3 linked regions of the Rattus norvegicus genome follow. The protein of the gene in region 1 interacts with the protein of each later gene in a biochemical or structural test. Links are inferred from orthologs where the notes say so. Each region holds a gene or a part of one and is shown in the gene's direction. Other genes may lie near its edges.

What was found. The genes of interacting proteins can lie anywhere in the genome.
Region 2: the proteins of Sos1 (region 1) and Itsn1 form a complex in vitro, tested with the Homo sapiens proteins (2 studies listed by BioGRID, with this or other methods). The link is inferred for Rattus norvegicus from reciprocal best matches to the Homo sapiens genes SOS1 and ITSN1.
Region 3: the proteins of Sos1 (region 1) and Nck1 form a complex in vitro, tested with the Homo sapiens proteins (2 studies listed by BioGRID). The link is inferred for Rattus norvegicus from reciprocal best matches to the Homo sapiens genes SOS1 and NCK1.

What each region holds. Positions count from the first base shown.
Region 1 is NC_086024.1:20,283,954-20,289,957, forward strand, and holds the start of Sos1 (son of sevenless homolog 1), read left to right. Parts: upstream 1-2,163; 5' UTR 2,164-2,176; coding exon 2,177-2,263; intron 2,264-6,004.
Region 2 is NC_086029.1:44,462,687-44,468,479, forward strand, and holds the start of Itsn1 (intersectin-1), read left to right. Parts: upstream 1-1,860; 5' UTR 1,861-2,093; intron 2,094-2,747; exon of another isoform or gene 2,748-3,005; intron 3,006-5,793. UniProt on the Homo sapiens protein: Adapter protein that provides a link between the endocytic membrane traffic and the actin assembly machinery. Acts as a guanine nucleotide exchange factor (GEF) for CDC42, and thereby stimulates actin nucleation mediated by WASL and the ARP2/3 complex.
Region 3 is NC_086026.1:109,954,315-109,960,325, reverse strand, and holds the start of Nck1 (cytoplasmic protein NCK1), read left to right. Parts: upstream 1-2,078; 5' UTR 2,079-2,195; intron 2,196-2,238; exon of another isoform or gene 2,239-3,193; intron 3,194-6,011. UniProt on the Homo sapiens protein: Adapter protein which associates with tyrosine-phosphorylated growth factor receptors, such as KDR and PDGFRB, or their cellular substrates. Maintains low levels of EIF2S1 phosphorylation by promoting its dephosphorylation by PP1.

The sequences.
Region 1 (6,004 bases):
TAGGTTAGAGTGATAGAGCCTGATGAACCATGATTAACAACTGAGAGAAAACCTTAAGACTGTTTTAAGTAGGTGCCAGATTCGTAGCTTTGCGCAGAACTTTGAAGTGTGTGTTCTTTAGATTTTGAGATAGCATTTCATGTAGCCCTGGCTGGTCACCATGCAGCTGAGATCGGCCTTGCTCCTCTGCCTCTACCTCTCTCCTGAGGGCTGGGATCAGTGGCTACATTACTGCCTGAAGCTTGAAATGTGTTTTAATAGTGAGAAGCCAAGGACCAGTTTTCTATAATAGTTGATTTGGTTCAGTCATTTGAGACCACATAAACCTGTTGTTGAAAATAACTGATATATCAGTTGTCCTCTGAAACTCCTTTTCTAACTCCTTCCTAAGCTATCACTCCTCTGCTTTTCTCTTTTGAAAAAGTATATTTATCTTGTGTCTGACACACCCGCCACTGAACACGTGTAGAGACCAGAAGAACTTTTGGGAGTTAGTTTTTCTGCTTCCACCTCGTGGGTCTCTAAGACAGAACTCGGGTTCTCGGGCTTGGCTGCAGGTACCCTTTACTGGCTGAGTCATTTCACCAACAGGCCTGCTCTGCTGTCTTATTACTCTGATGGTCAATGGATGGACTTCAAACTGTTGTTGAGCCGTTTAAAATGAGGGGAATTTTTAAAAAGATGTAAATCCGTGTATGCATTATAAAAGGAAAGACTTGAAGATTTCATTCAGACCCTATAAGGTGGTCTAAAAGATGGTGGTTTCAAACATTTTTTCTTCTGTGAGATCTTGTTTATTGTACTTCAAAACAGCAAGACCTAATGTCAATTTGAACCCAGGCTGGTTCTTCCAACTGTCTCGTCATCTATGAAATGAAAACTGAGAATTAAAACAACGCTGTACTCAGAAAGAGTTCAATGATAAGGCACAATGTGCCATAGCGCTGCACAGTGCCACTATAATAAGCATCTCCATCCTCACGATGGAAGGACAATTCATAGATACTGCTTTTATAGCATTCCGCAATTTTCACGTCTCTATTCTGGGTCGAGTACCAAGGCGAGGTGAGGGGTGGGGGGGGAATCTCTGTCTTCCAGAAGCTAATTATCCAGTTGAAGCTATGAAAGATCCCAAGCAGGACGACTAAATCCACAAATAAAAGCTCGTGGGTTTGAGTAGACACACGATCAATAAATACTACACGTATCCGTTCTCATGGCATGGAAAGGCAGATGGAAAAAAGCAGTCTCTCCTCCCACCAGACAAACCCTGAGCAGTCGTTTTTTTGTGAGAGGAATCTATCTTTTGTGCAATCTGTTTAGTATACAGTGCATGCTCAGGGCACTCCTTATCTTCGTGCTGGGAACAAAGTACACACACCCCTTTTCTAAAACACAGGGCCTAGGATCTCCTAGAACTGGATGGGCTCCCCGCCTGCCGGACCACACAAAGGGGGCGCTTTGCCTGCTCGCAGGCCCCCACACCCAGACACTTTCTCGGGTCGCGGGTTCGCTTTCAGGGTCCCTCAGCCCCGCCTCTGCGAGTGCCCTCCCCAGCCTCTGGCGCGCACCCCTCCTCATCCGCGGGCAGATGGAAAACCCGGAGCGAACCGGCCTGGGCCGCTGGCGCATGCTCAGTTGCGAGCAGGTTCAGTTTGCTAGTAGGAAGCTCCAGCGCTACACCGGCGGCGGCGGCAGCGGCAGCAGCAGCGACGACGGCCGAGCGGCCGGATTCCCCGGCAGCGACCTCGGGCCCTTCTCCTTCCTCACCCGATCCCGGTCCCGGCCCGCCCCGCTCTGGGCCTCTCGCTTGAGTTCCCCGCCCGCGAGCGGGCGCCACCGGCCCGAGCGTCCCTCCACGCGCCGTCTCTCGGAGGGCCAGGCCGTGCGGGGGAGCTCAGCCCCGGCGGAGGGCGGCCCGGGGCGGAGCGGGGGGCCTGCCCCGGGGCGGTGGTGCGGGATGCCGCCGCCGCCACCGCCGGGCTGCGTTGCCTCTCGACGAGCGGCGCGCGTGTCCGGTGGGTGCCCGGCCGCGGGCCTCGCCCCCCAGACTCCTCGCCAGCGCTAGCCGGGCCGCGCGGCGCCCCGAGGGGGCCGGGCTGTGCGCGGGCTGCGGCCCTTCTCCGCGCCGCGAGCCGCCGCCCCTCCGTCCGTCCCGAGGCGCCCCGCAGGCACCATGCAGGCGCAGCAGCTGCCCTACGAGTTTTTCAGCGAGGAGAACGCGCCCAAGTGGCGGGGGCTGCTGGTGCCTGCGCTGAAAAAGGTAGGGGCGCGGAACCCGCTTCCCGGCCCCAGTCCGCTCGGGGCCGGGTGAGGGCGGGGAGGCGGGGCGCCACCGCGGTCTTTCTTCCCGGTCTCGGGTCTCGGGGAGGTCTGCTCAGGCTGTGAGGTTCCCCGCGTCCGCTGCTCCAGCTGTTGACACTCGCCCGGGGTGCGTGGGAAGGCCGCACACAGTCGGGGAGGGTTGGTCTGGATCATCCAAGCACCGAGGCGAGGGTTGGAGGAGCCTCGGTTTTCCGTGGAGGTCAAAGAAGGCCATTGCCTACCTTCTCGATCTTACCGAGCTGCGGTCAGTCTCTCGTTTTAGGAGTCCAGGGCTCTCACTGGCTCGAAAGTGCCCTGGCCACAGTGCTTGCCTAAGTAATTGCGAGGTTGCCTGCCAGTAAGAACATGGCCTGCTTGGTTTTGCTCGTCCTCAGTCATAACTCCCCGTTCTCTTGACACCCTCCCCCCTCCCATTACAGGAGTGATGCACATGCCACTGTATTCAGATTGGTTCTTTTGAAGTAGCTGAGAATCTTCGAACCTCGTTTGGTTTGGTGTTTTGCATCTTTAGTCTTTGTGTCTTTGAGTTTGCCAGAGGTTGAAGTAAATTATTTGGAAATTATTTGCTACATTTTAAAAGCTTCTAAAGCAACTGTCTGGTTTGGCATTTTGAATTTATGTTTGCCAGTAGTTATCCGTGGCTGTTGATACATTTCGAAAGCTTCTAAAGCAACGCTTGTACCAAGACATCTGAAACAGGTGTGTTTGAATGGATTTTTAAAACCAGATTGGTTTTTGTTTTTATTTGCCTTACCTGTAGAGATTGTTTTACTCTTCCAGGAGTTTTAATCTCGATTTCTTGTTGCTCAGATGATTTTCATGCTCTCTTTGCTAAAATACAGTTTTGTTACTACTGAGTATTGAGTACAGAGTTTGCTGTACCATGCAGAGCTTTTCTATAACCAGAAAGTGTTTTCATACTCCACAGAGGCCAGCACCTTTTAGTTTCTCCTTTGCACTGTTCTCCCCTTCCCCTCTTGGTATCTTATGCTGGAAAACTGTTTGCTTTTTTGGGAGACTTTGCTTTTATTTTTCAGACTTGGGTTACTGGTTTTTATCCTCAAATGTCTTACAAATCTCTAGGTTTTCTAAGGAAATCAAAGAGGTCACCTCGTTGTGCATACTTTGTTCATTAGAGATCCCATGAGGCTTCAGTCCATTTTTACCTTGGCTTTACCTGCACACTTGCCTGCTTAGTTTGTAGAATTGGAGAAGTATGCCTCATGACGCTAGAAGTTTGGTATCTTGACAGGACAAGATGAGACAGAAAAATTGATTTATATGTACAAAAGCTCTCACAGAACATTACCAGTTTGAGGTATTCGGCTTAAAAGCAGGTAGCTCCTATTCTAAGGAGACCTCCACAATATCACTTGAGGATCCTTTGGAGTGGTAGGAAGAGCATTGTAGAAGTTGGCAGACTACTGTAACCTGCCTCATGGGTGGCCCTCGCAGAAACCTATTTTGTGTGGCTGGCATTCTGGGTCTTTTTGTTCGTTGTTTTGTTTTTCATTTTATGTAATCAGTTGCCAGTATCTTAAGATGAGAAATGTCGGGGTTGGGGATTTAGCTCAGTGGTAGGGCGCTTGCCTAGCAAGCACAAGGCCCTGGGTTCGGTCCCCAGCTCTGAAAAAAAAAAAAAAAAGATGAGAAATGTCACATACAATCTGAGTTCTTATTTTTTTCTTGAATTAGAGATGGACTTGCCATACATTTTCACCATCAGAAAACTGCTGGAGTTGTGAGTGACTGCCTTCTGTGGAAAGGGTTTTGTCCCCAGTTCACCATAGTGTGGCTTGTGTTCTATAGCTTCGCGGTTGGCTGGCTTTCCGCTTGAAGCAGAGCCGTCCCTGCAGAAGTGAGATGAAGAGGGAGTTTACAGGGTCCCTAATGCATGAGGTTCTCCTCATTCACATTCCCACCTGCAATGCTCTTAGGACACCCAAGACAAGGCTGGATATATTTCTCATATTCAGAATATGCTCTTGTAGCTTAAAACTTGAATATTGTATGTGTGTTGGACTTTTCATGAAGATGCGTCCTTGGACATTTTGTGTGGGTGTGTCCTTATCCTGAAATCTTCAGACTTTAAACTGCTTGTATAATGCCCACCAGTGTGTTTTCTTAGCTGAAGCTTTTTGGACAGTCTGCTCATTTGATCTGGCCTACTACTACTCAGCCTCAGAGATTCTTCTCAGGCGCTCAGGGTTGCGTTGGATAGTGCTCCATTGTTTCTTCCTAGTGTCCTATCCTAATTTACTTGTCCATATTCATGTTAGCTACCCTATGGGACTTCTACACCGGTGCTGTACCTGACACCTGTTAGGACTCATTTTGAACAAGTGTCTTTGTCTGTTACTTTGAGTTTGCCAGAGGTTAAAAGTAAATTATTTAGAAATGTTGCTACATTTTTTTAAAGCTTCTAAAGCAACATTGTAACTTAGTAAATCTTCAACTCTTTCCTCCTCCTTTTGGTTTGGGATTTTGAATTTCTAGCCATTATATGTTACTTTTAGTTTGCCAGTGGATAAAGTTATTTGGAAATGTTGCCAAGTGTGTAAGGGGATACTCATAATAAAACTGACCCCCACCACCAGTTTCTAACTTCTTGGTTAATGGCTTTAAACTTGTATTTGACTGGTTCAAAACTGAAGCCTAGGACTCCTGTCTGTGTACTGCTGCCTGCCTTCAAGCAAAACCTTACACTTATCAACCTCTAACATGCTCTTGTACTCTACTCTTCTAACTGCTTAGAGTTTCCTCTCCAAGGTTACTGTGGTAGCCTCTCAGTTGAGTTCCTTACCCCCAGTCCACTTGCCTTTACATATTTCAGAAGTTATATAGTACTTTTGAACGTGTTATACATTTGTTCAAAATTGTTGATGGCCTTTAAGTTAAAGCTGGGTGTTTTAGCATGGAATTTTTAAGACGGCTTTACCCTGACCTTCCTATTTGATTTCGTATCAAAATCTTTCTAGAGAGGTCTACTACTTTTCCTGAATGTATTTATTAGGCCCACAGTGTCTTCCCTCTACATTTATCACATCCCACAAATACTTGATGCTTGTCTCAGAACAAGTATTGCCCTTGGTACTAAGGATAAATGACATATTAAAAAGACCAAGTGGATGTGGTAGTGGGTATGTCTGAAGAGAGGACTTGTTCTTAAGCCAGGGCTTTTGTTTTTAGACAGTCTCATTCTACAGCCCAGACTAGTCTTGAACTTGCAGCTTAGCTGTCTTGGCTTAACTACCCTGGTCAATGAGGTGTTCTAAATAGGAAAGTAACACTTGGTTTGAAGTTTAGAAAACTCACTTAGGTCAAGAAAGGGGAAGAATGAGGCCTAAGATAAGGGAGAGAAGCAGGAAAACTCCATATGAGAGGAGGTGAGGGAGAGAGAGAAGCAGGAGACTCCGTCTGAGAGGAGGTACACATTTGGGTTAGGATGGGTGCTCTGGGAGCAGTGTTGAAAAGGCAGAACTCTCAGACCTAGCACTTCATTGTGGGACTGGAGGATATTAAGGAAGTCAGGCTTGCTTGCAGCTAGTCATCGAACTTTGGGATGGAGAGACAGGTGACGTAATGAAATGGTTTGGAACATGTTGATTTTAAAGGCCTTTTGGATTGTCTAGGCCTATTTCTCCAGTTGGCAGTCCAGTTTTGAGACCTGATGCAGCCA
Region 2 (5,793 bases), on another chromosome or scaffold:
TCTTGTATCTTGAAAGTAGTTCCGAGCCCATGTAACAGAGTGGCAAGGGGATGGTCACTGGCAGTCACCTGAATAACATTGCTGAGTTTCTGCAATGGTCCCTTGTATCATCTGGATTTGTACGGCGGCTAATAGCCACAGGTGGCTACTAAGCGCTTGAGTGGTATGCAGTTAGGATGAAGGTATGCTGTGAGGGTAAAATGCACAACAGATCTGCAAGGCTTAGTATTTAAAGAACACACGGTCTCATTTAAATATCTGATTCTTTTAAAGGTTGAAATAATATGTGGAGAAACTGGTTTAAAAGGAACATAAAAATTAATTTCATGTGGTCTCTTTACACTGTCCAAATGTGGCTCCCAGGAAATCTAAAAGCACCTAGGTGCCTAGAACATTTTTCCTGGATTGGCAATGCAAAACTCAGCATCTACTGTGGACTGCCTATACTTGGGAGCTTGTTTAAGATGCCCATACTCAAAATATTCTTAAAAAAAAAAAAAACAACCCAAAAAACAAAAAACAAATGCAGACCATCAGGCCCAAATCCAGAATCAGTATCTGAGCCTCCTCATGACCCTGGGATAATTCTTTAGTATGGCTCAAGTATGGACTACTGGATGAAGCAGGCAATTCCTGACCCAAGGCCCCATTACTGTGAACACCCGTCCTTGCTTGCTTTAGGAAACCGCTTATTGGAAATGCCAAGAAAAGGGTAAGAAGGGTGACAAGGGAAGTAGTAACGGAGACAGCATCAGAAACAGTGGTAGGGAGAAGCTGGGGTGGGGAGGACTCAACTGAGAGAAAGGCAATTCTAGACCTTTGTCTACATAAACGCGGAGGATGAAGCAAAGACCCACAATCCAAACCTAGCCAGTGTCAGGAACTGTCCGTCAAATCTAGTATTACCCGCCCCTCAGCGGCCTCAGCCAAGCTAGGCCAGAGCAGGAGCAGCTCTGAGGTCGGCGTGTGATGCGAAGCACCAATCTCCCCAAGGTTAGACAACTCCTTCAGACGTTTCTCCATCTTTTGCCCAAAGTCCCATTTCACGAGACACATATCGTTCTTCCCTGGCTCACCTGGCTTGGAGCAACCTCAACCGCCAGCGCCTTCGCCGCCGCCACCTTCCCAGTCCTTCTGCAGAGAGCCCGCCTTCGTAGGTCCAAACAGTACTGCCATTGGTCGGACTGCCCGTCACTACCGCAGGATGACCGATCTGGGGGAGGCTGTGACGAGCGCCATAGCAACCGAACCCGGAACTACAATTCCCAGCATGCTCCTCCCTGTAGAGAGGCGAGTCATCCCAGGGACCACCAATACTTGGGAGAAGTTGGGCGTTGCCGAGATGGGTTCCGTTTTATGCAAATTAGAGTAAAAGGCCACACCCTTCCTCATTCCAACCGTACTCCCTACCATCTTTCTTCAGTCTTTGTCTCTGTCGCCTCTCGTTCCCACGTTCTTTCTGCAAAACCTTCAATTTAGTTAAATGTATGCTAGCTACTGTCGCGCATAGAAAAGAGCAAAGCGCCAAATCATGAAACAAAAATCTCCGTACGCATAGACCAGAAACCTCTAGTTATGCCTTCATGGGACGAGACAAGGACTGGGAGGAAAAAGGGTGCTTCCCGAACCACTTAATTGGTTTATCTCGCTGCCACTCTGTACACCTCCAATTCCTGTGGCTAGTCCTTTTTTCCCCAGTGGGCGGAGTCATGCGAACGAATGAGAAGGCGTGGTCTCGGCCGTCCGATTGGCAGGCGGTTATTCCCGCCCATCTATGGGTGGAGCGGAGGGCTGGCTGTGGGCGGAGGGGCGGCGGCGGAGGGAGATGAGGAGATAGGCGGGAGCGAGGGAGCGAAGGAGCGGAGGGCGAGAGGAGTGGAGCGGCACAGGGAGGGCGCGCAGCTTGGTTGCTCCGTAGTACGGAGGCTCGCGAGGGAGCATCCCGAGCGGGCTCCGGGACGGCCGAGAGGCAGGCGGGCGAGCGGGCGGGCGGGGATGGTGTGCGCGGCTGCGGACCCTGCGTTCCTCCGCGCGGCGTGCGGGCTGCACTGATTTGTGTGAGGGGCGGCCGCGCGCACCCGCCCGGAGATGAGGTGAGGAGCTGACGCGGGCGGCCTGGCGCGCGGGCGGGGGTCGGCGATGGCCGCCCGGGGTCGGGTCCAGCGGCCGGGCGCGCGTCCCCGCGGCCGCCGTCGCCGCTCTGCCTGGTCTTTCTCATCCTCCCGGGGGCGGCGGGGCGGGCGGGCCGCGGCGGTGGCGGCCGCGGGACGGGCTCCGGTGAATGGGCGTCCGCAGCCACTGCCGGCGCTCCCGAGGGGGCATCGCGGCGGGCGGTCCCTTCCACCGCTGACCCCTCTGCCCTCGGCCGCCGGAGGGTGGGGGGCCGGCCCGGCCTCCCGGGGATCCCGAGCTCGCGGGAGACGCATCGCGCCGCCCGCGGGTGCCCCCGGCCTCGAGTCCCCGGCTCATCCTTTTTCTCCGGCGCCTCCTTGGAATACCCTGTCAAGTGAAGGGCGGTCAATGCCGTTCGGGCCGAAGTGGTGCGGCCGGGGCTGGCTCTGATGGCATTTAACAGAAAGCGGCTCCCCTTGCAGCGGGCGCGCGTCCCCTGGTCGGCCGCTTCGCCCTCCGTGCGCACGCACTGACTTGGGTGTCTGCTATGGACCCAGGGCACAGTTGCGGTCCCTCTTGGGGGCGGGGGCGGGGGGGGGGGACCAGGAAATGCAATCCGGATTCCCAGAAAAAAGAAAAGAAAAGCAAGGATGAGCTGGCTGGACCTCCCTTCACTTCTGTTTCCCTTTGGTTTGGAGGACAACTTCGCTGATCCTCTTGCCTATGAGCAATCTATTGTTGTGAATCAGACTACAGACATTGCTTTTGAAGGAATAGATTAGTGGCTTCTTGCTGCAGTTTGAGGGTGTAGAGGTATTCGGTAGCATCTTGAATGTGAAAGTTTGCGGCTTTGCCCTCACCGCTGCTATTCGGAAAACAACCAACCTGGAAATGTAAGTGCATGCAGACTCTGGCCAGATACGGTTCTTTTGTGCTTATCTGTTGGTATATTTCATTTGGTACTTCGTGGTCAGAAACATAGAGCATAAAGAAAGAGTCTGATAGCATAGATAGTGAAAGCATAGGAATACATGCCTGTGGAAAATATCAGTTCTATTTTCAGGGAGGCCGGTTTACTAATCCCGATGAATTGATGAAGAGAAAGGCTTGCTCATGGATTATGTGGTGGACAGGATGTGAGGGCAGGAGCTAGGGCCAGGAGCCCACAGGCCAGCTGCTTGGCAGGGCATTTCTTTAAATGCTCTTAACTGGAGGGATGTATCTGTTTGTTGGGATAAAACTTTTATTTTTAGAAGACGTTTACAGTGAAAAGTGCAGACAGTTCAACAACCATTATGGTTACCATTTTTGCTACTTAACTTTTTTTTAAAACTAGTTTGATTGAAATGTTTTGTATGTGTGTGTGAGTTTCCTTATGACCTAAGAACTTATAAGAAAGCAGCATCTCTCTGTAGGAGACATGTAAAGAAGTCAGGAAACTATAAAGGATTTAAATGAAGAAGTGAAGGACACTGATTTGGTGACAGGGCATAGATACTCCATACACTTCTATGTGTAAGGAGCCACAGTAAGGAGCCTTTTTGAGAGTACATGTTTAAAAAAGTGGTATTTATTTTTTAAAAAAGTGTCTGTTATTGAAATTGCTGAGGATCGCGGTACTGCCACAAAACTATTATTATTCTGCCTGAGTAAGAGAGGAACTGAGCACATTTCTAATGTACTTTGGAACCCTGTGAATTGTTCAGATGCTGAGCATTGTGAAATAGGGCATGAAATGAGTGGTGGCAAGTTAGTTCCCTGAAATGTTTGTCCCTCAGCATTTTCTGTCTTTCTTTTGCTGGTGACTAGCTGTTTCCTTTTCCTGTGGGCATTCTTTATCTTTCCCCAAATACCTAGATTGAGACACACCCTTAAAACACTTGGAAGAGATTAAAAGGGAGGCCCTAGTAAATTCCTCTGCCAGTGCCTTTTCTCTTTTGGTGTTTGAACCAGGACTTGGAGAGTGCTAAGTGTGTGGCCCTAGCACCTAGCTACAACCCCAGCCTCACACTGGTCTTTGTGTGTGGTGCTGTCGTTTGAACCTGGAGACTGTGAGGCTAGGCAGATGCTACAGTCTCCTCCTTTTAATTTGCTAAACTTGTGACTACCGGCTGGGTTTATGTCAGACTTCTCTTGAGTGACTCCCTCCTGAATGACTCCACTTGCTGGCTCCATCCGAGTCTGGCATTCAGATATCTTTACATCAGCTTAACAGGTCTCTGCCTCTCCACCTCAGAGTCAGACAGTGGGAAGTATATTTTCAGTACCGTTTCCAGGAAATTCTCCAGGCCGGCAGATTCAGAGAACCTTGGCGGCGTGCTTCTTTCTTACTGAGTGTCTCCAAAGTGGATGATAGCAAGCTTGTCAAGTGGCAGGAGTTTTACATGTTGTGATAAATGTTTCAGAAGAGCAGAGTTGACTGTGGTCTTCCTAGAGACTGAACCAGTGCCCCTTGGATAGTTGCAGAATGAATGGGTGAACCACTTTGCAGCGATCCTGGTGTTTTAAGTCTTCACCTGCCAAGTTAGTCACATCACCAAGTAGTCATAAGCGCTGTGTCCTAGTTGGTTCCTCTAAGCTTGACCAGTCTTGAATGTACAGTCTTGCTGGATGGCATGCTGGAAGGAGGTCTAGCAAATGTTGCTTTAAGGACTCAAAATTTAATGTAGCGTCTAATCATTTCACCTACCCTTTCATAAATGATGGTAGTCCTAACATAAGAATCACTTGTGGGAAATGTGGACAGTAGGTACGCTTTCCAACATGACTTTCATGGTATGTGACCTTCACTCTCCTTTTACAGAGTCTACCACATAAATTACAGATTTTATGTGAGCGAGCGAGCGAGCGAGCGCTAATACGGGACCTCGTCACATACTGTTAATGACTCAGATGCAGTCATCAAACCTCTCAGCACCTCAGTTTCCTTGGCTAAACATGGGAAGAATGGTAGTGGAGTTTGCATACCTCTAAGTAACCCAGCCTTGCCTCTAAATGCTGGGATTTTAGGAGTGTGCCACCGTGACCTACACTTAAACACAGTCAGTTATTAAGCAGTAGTTCACTCCGATGGAAAGAATTGGAGTGTGTAATATATACAGTTTGAAAGCTCACACTCACCTGATTTCTGTACTGCTTTACTTTGTGGTCACAAGTAGAAACTCATTGTTTTTTTTTAATGAAGTCTCTTGATAACTTCTTGGTATTAAATTATGTATACTTTACTTAATAAGCTACAAGAATTATACATATAATTACAAAATAAATCTCACAATCACTTTCATCTTAATTACTTTAGAATAAATCTCAATCAAGTTAGCCTTTGTATTTAAAAAAAAAATCACATAGAAACTGAAATACAGAAAAGCAAACACAAGGAAACTTTGACATACCCATAAATCCATGACCTGAGTCATACATACTAGATCATTTTTGCGTGTGCATACGGCCATTCGTGTACAACTTTTGGTACAAAAATGGGATCTTGCTGTGCATGTCTGTTTCCTTCCTCCTCTTCCTCTTCCTTTTCTTCCTTCTTAAAGGTCCTGTCTAGCCTTGGCTATCCAGGAGCTCACTAGGTGGACCAGGCTGGCTTCTAACTTCCAATGGTTCTTTACCACTCTTTGCCTAAAAGGAACAGTTTAAAAAATATGGACTCCCCACCTCCCTCACATACACATA
Region 3 (6,011 bases), on another chromosome or scaffold:
CATACAAAGCAGACTCTTTCCTATAACAGCACAACCATACTAAATCCACAAGTTAAATTTGTTTAGTATGGCCCACTGATTTTTACATTTGAAGATCAAGTCTGGGATAACTTCTTGATAACCATAAGATAAGATAGGTAGGATTTTCTTCCTCCTAATCATTCCTGTATGATAGGGACACTAAACTAGGTCATTCTTTTTTTTTTTTTTTTTTTTTGGTTCTTTTTTTCGGAGCTGGGGACCGAACCCAGGGCCTTGCGCTTCCTAGGCAAGCGCTTTACCACTGAGCTAAATCCCCAACCCCTAAACTAGGTCATTCTAACCATAAGCTGCCAATAGTTCTCTGGGAAAGGTCTTAAGGCATGGAGAGTTCTTATTTCCTTTCTACACTACCCCAAATATCCTCCTTCAGAGTTAATGGGGGTGAGCTGCCTGTATGGTTTTTGGTTTGCTTTTGAGATAGGGTCTCTCTATGTAGCCTTGACTGTCTTGGAATTTGCTATATGAATCAGGCTGGCTTTGAACTTGCAAAACTTGAACCTGTCTATGCAGGTGTAATGTGTAATGGTCTGTATGATTTTTTTTTTTTTTTAGACAGGGTTTCTCTGTGTAGCCAGGGTGTCCTGGAACTCACTCTGTAGACCAGGCTGGCCTCGATCCATCTGCTTCAGCCTTCCAAGTGCTGGGATTAAAGGCATGTACCACCCCCTTGTCTGCAGTATGTATGGTTTTTAATATATGATTTGCATTCCTACTTTTGATACTAACAATAGAACATAGGCAGAGTATCCTCTGCCCAGCTTTACCACCTACTTTTCTTACTCAGGATAAGAAGGCGCTACAGGTAATTTGTATTTTACCTAGGGCAGGCCACCATATCTATTAACATGCAACTAGGTTAAAGGCAGAGAAGTAACTTTTTAGGACTTACCGGTAGGACCTGTATTACAGCGGAAGGAAGGGGTGGAGAGGTGGTTCAGTGACTAAGAGCGCCAGTTTTCCAAGGGACCCCAGTTTCATTCCCAGCACCCACAGGGTAGTTCAAAACCATCTGTAACTTTTTTTCTGCGGATCCTATATCCTCTTTTGGCCTCCAGGGGTAGCAGGCACGCACATGATACACAAGTACACATGTACACCAAACACTCGAACACACAAAAAATAAAAATGAATAAAAGGGGAAAGGAAGATGTATTAATTCCTCGATTATTGACGATGATGTTGTGCTAGGCATGGAGTGAGGGTGGGTGGGTGCTGACACAGTTCCTCTTGTAATAGACTTTGCAATCTAGGTATATGGGTGCAGCTACGCCGGAGGCAAAACCCGTGTTTCAATAAAGTTACCTAACCTAGAGTGCTGCTTTTAGGTGCCACAGCTATACTAAGTAGCAAGGGTGTTCGGAAATAGTGAGGCAGGTTATTGGTGGCTGTAGGGCTAATTGGGAAGGAGAATCGATTTCTTAATGGCTTAGCGGGTGGCTGGGGCTGTGCCACTGCCACGCTCAACCCAAGGGCAAAGGTAACAGTGCTTTTCACAGAACTGGAAGCGGAGAGTGAAGGCTACCCACGCGCCAGGGCACTCGGAAGTTCCTCACACAGCTTATTTTGGTTGTGGTTTTAGTTAACAAACATTTTACATTTTCTCCGAGGCTTGATTTTTCTTTGTCGCTCTCTGTCCCTAAGATCTGTAGGTGGTCGGCCCTTTCAGAAGCAGGAACCAGAGTAGTTTGGGTTGAACTCGGGACCACTGTTCGACATTAATGAGCGATTATAATGACAGGTTTTAGTAGGGCTTGGAGAGGCGGAGAGTAACCAGCTACCGAGGAAGCTGGGGGAGAAAAAGGCAGTGGGGCCCAGCGAACCTCAACTTCTCCTGTCCAAACGCTGCGCAGCCTCAGCTCACTGAACAGTGAGCGCCGCGCTTGAGTGACAAGCCCGTTCGCCCAATCAGGGAGCGGCTCATTCCTCTGACGAATCAGGGGCGGGCGCCGGAGGCGAAGGAGCCTATTAGGTTAGGTGTGGAGCGGGTTTCCTGCCCGCAACGGTCCGCCCACCGGTTGCGCGCGCCCCGCCCCTCTCTGAGAGCTACGCGGCGGCGCAGCACAGGCCTCGTGCGGTAACGGCATCCGGCCAGCCGCGGTGGCGTCCCGGTGCAGTCCTCAGGTGACTGGAGCCGCGGGCTCGGCGGAGGGAAGGTGAGATGGCCTTGCCCGCGTGCGGACACACGCACCGTCCTTTCGGTCTCCTAGTCTGTCCGCGCTGCCTGCTAGTCTCTGGTCGCTTCCTCTTCCCCGGCGAAGTTAGCCCGGGGGCGCCGTCTGCTGGCGGCGGAGCGGAGCGGAGGGGGCGGGGAGGCCGCTCGGCGGAGCTCCGGTGTCCGCGGTGCCGCCCGGTGACCCCGCGCGGCCTCTGGCCTGAGCTACGAGCCCTGCTCGGGGAGCCGAGCAGGCAAGTGTGCGGCGCGCTGTCTCGGCGGTTCTCAGAAAGCCCTGTCGCGGTCTGTGGTGTGTCCGAGGCCGGGACGGTAGGGACGCGGGCTGGCAGGCAGGAAGGGCGCTCTCACCTCCAGCCGCCAACCGGAGGAAGCCGTGAGGGGGGACATCCTCGGGCGCGCCCTCCCCTCCCCCTCCCGTTCCAGAGCAGGAGAGATGGGGTTGTCTGGGGTGGCTGTTGAGGTGGGGTAGGTCCAGGAAAAACAGCCCATTGGGTTGGTTTTCGTACGGGTTTCCGCACTAGTTCGGTTCAGTCTGTTAACAGCTGGGTTGGAAGGAAGCTGGTTTTTTGTTCAGGGTTGAGGACCGTAACATCATCTTAACATTATCGCTTGGTTAATGTCGAGCGGAGCTGAAATCACCCAAAGACAATACTGCCCTTTAGTTAGGTAAGAATCCATAGGAGTTAGGAAAGAACGAGATGAAGAAAACTTCCTGACCCCCATCTTGGGTGGGGAGCAGTGAGATCAGTGTTCAGCCCAAAACGGGTAAAGTTTTGCAAGAAGTGTTCATTTTCAAAAGAGTTACTTTGATAGCTTGATGATCAATCAGCCTTAACGATTTCTTAAGCACCCTGGAAATCAGTTGCAAGCTTTCAGCCTTTAGCGACGTCACCACATGAACAGAGAGTCCAAGAAGACAGTTTGGTTTGATAATTTTCAGTCTTGTTTTTAAGTAGACCTTCTCTCCGCATCGTGATAGTAAGTCAAAGCATATGCATTGGCTGATTAGTACTTTTTTCATCATGCTCACATTGGATGTTTTCTCTGGGAAGAGCTTCTGTAGGAATTGGCTAGAATAACTTAAGCATGCATTGTGTTGATGTCTCAGCTGTATGTATGAACATTAACTTTGAAAAGACTTGCCTCCCTGTCAAGCATTTTTTGTTTTGGTTTTCCAAGCCTTACAGATCCTATGTAAACAAGTTGGCATATCAATGTATTGCTTTTATTAAACACTGAGTGATAGTTTATGCTGCTGACTTTCATAATTTGAGAACTTAGTTTTAGAGTTCAAGGCTTGATGTGATTATTGTTGTAAATAAATTCCTTTTCAGGAAAACTTGGAAAAAAAAAATGAATTCACCTTGGTAGTATTTGGAAGAATGCATGGTTTCAATGCCAGAAAACCAATGATTATTTCACTGTTAAGTAAAATTGAAGGAAACTTAAAATTAGAAATTACTGAACATTTAACAAATCCAACAGTTTGAAGAAAGTTTGACAGGCCCGGATGATTCTCACTTTAATCTGTCTGAGAAATAAAACTTAAAAGTCTTCCCTGGGGCTGCAGAGATGGCTCAGTGGTTAAGAGCACTGACTCCTCTTCCAAAGGTCCTGCGTTCAACTCCCAGCAACCACATGGTGGCTCACAACCATCTGTAATGGGATCCGATGCCCTCTTCTGGTGTGTCTGAAGATAGCAACAGTGTACTTATGTACATAAAATAAATAAATCTTTAAAAAGTCTTCTCTGCAAAACTGATGCATGCGCTGTCTTTCTTTGGTGATACATTCTGTAACATGCTTTCAGTAACCCAGACATAAACCTTTAACAGTGTCCTATTTTTTTGTAGTCGTTTTCTTTAAAAAAAAAAAAACAAAAAACAAAAAAACCTTCCCTTCCTATTCTTATATATTGTTTAAATTTCCGCTTCTGAACTGCTCACTTGCCCTAGCTGGGTTTTCTGCCTGGGTGTTCACAAATGTGTTCTGCCTGTGCTGATCTTAAAATACGACTTTGAACATATTTTTACTGTTTAGACACTAGTAATATCTTTCGTCTAGATTTCAGTCTTTTAAGAGTTTATTTTTATTTTATGCGTTTGAGTGTTTTGCCTACATAGAAGCGCACAGCATGTGGTGTGGGTTCTGGGAACAGAACGGAGATCCTCTGCTAGAGCTCTTAACCACTGAACCATCTGTCCTAGCACAGGAAGAAAGTTGTCTGCAGATTACTAAAGTAGCAAAGTAAAAGTCTCCCTTCCATAATCTCCTTCCTCCCTTCCTCACCCCTCTCTTCTCTTTCCCCTTCCTGACTCTTTCCTTCCCTCAGTTTTGGGGTCAGATCCATGGCTTCTCATAAACCACTGAGTTATATCATCAGTCTAAAGTTCTATTTTTTAAAAAAGATTATTACATTTTTGTTTGTGTGTGTGTGTGTATGTGGGGGGTGGGTGGACAGGCAATGTGCTTATGGCAGAGTCAGAGGACAGCTTGAGGGAGTCAGTTGTCTGTCCACCACATAGGTCCCTTGACTTGAACTCAGGTTTGTAGGCTTGGCAGCAGGTACCTTTACCTGCAGAGGCATCCGACACCCAACCAGAGTTATAGTTTTTACAAATAGTTAAACATTTTAAAAAGTGTGTGTGTGTGTGTGTGTGTGTGTGTGTATGTATGTATGTATGTATGTATGTATGTATGTATGTATGTTGAGGACATGATATGTGTACACAAAGGCAGGTGCCTGAAAAAGGAGGCTAGAAAAAAGTGTCAGATATGGTGGAGTTGGACTTACAGGCACTTACTTATGAGTCTCCTGATATAGTTGCTGGAATCAACCTTAGATCTTTTGCAAGAATAGTACTTGAATTTAACCAGAGCCATCTTTCCAGCGCCCAGAAATTTAATTTTGATTTTTGAGGAAAGGTTGTCAAAAATTTGTTACTTATGTTAATCTGTCTTTTTTTTTTTTTTTTTTTTTGCATTTCCCTCTTTTCGAGTTAGCATACAAAGTGATGGGTTTTGTGATGGTGTTTGCATATGTATTTATTGCTGTGCTTTTTCCTTAAACATCCTTTTCCCCAGCTGACATCTTTCTTTCCCTTGCTTTTTAATTTTATATGGATTTATGTCATGATGTCATGGAACATTGTTAAAACACTGGAATCTAGCCCTTTGTTTTTTAGATTGGGAAAGTGAAATGCAAAATAACTTGAGATTTACACATCCTGATGTTGGTGCAGAGCTGAGATGCAAATGTCATCTTATTCAAGTATCGTGTGTTCTTTCTGATACCATATTATTACTGTGTACAATATGTAATATTTGTTTTATATATTCCCCCTAGAGATCCAGCACTTTTTATTTTGAAAATAAAAAAAATGGGCTCTCAAATCATTGCTCTAAATTTTTGCTCAAATTATGTTCTGATGTGATCTTCCATCTATCTGATCCAGCCTTTGGCGTATCTAGGATTTCTGGTATATGACCTTTTATTTGTACTTCTCAGACTCCATGTATTAGGAGCATTAACAAAATAAGTTGTCTCTGTGGTTGAGGCCTGTAGCCTTCTAAGAAGTGTACGCTGTTGCTAGGGATGTAGCTCTGGGGGAGGCAGAAGGAGGTTGGATCCTTAGCACCAAAGGGAAAAGACAGTGGATGGCTGCCTTACAGGTTTTGCTGTTAGGAAGTTGAGGATCTTCCTTGACTTATTTGATAAAAATGACTCTCTGGGGGACTTTGAAAGGATACTGAAATGGTTTGGAGGAAGCTTGGAGGGTTTATCATGTAACTAAAT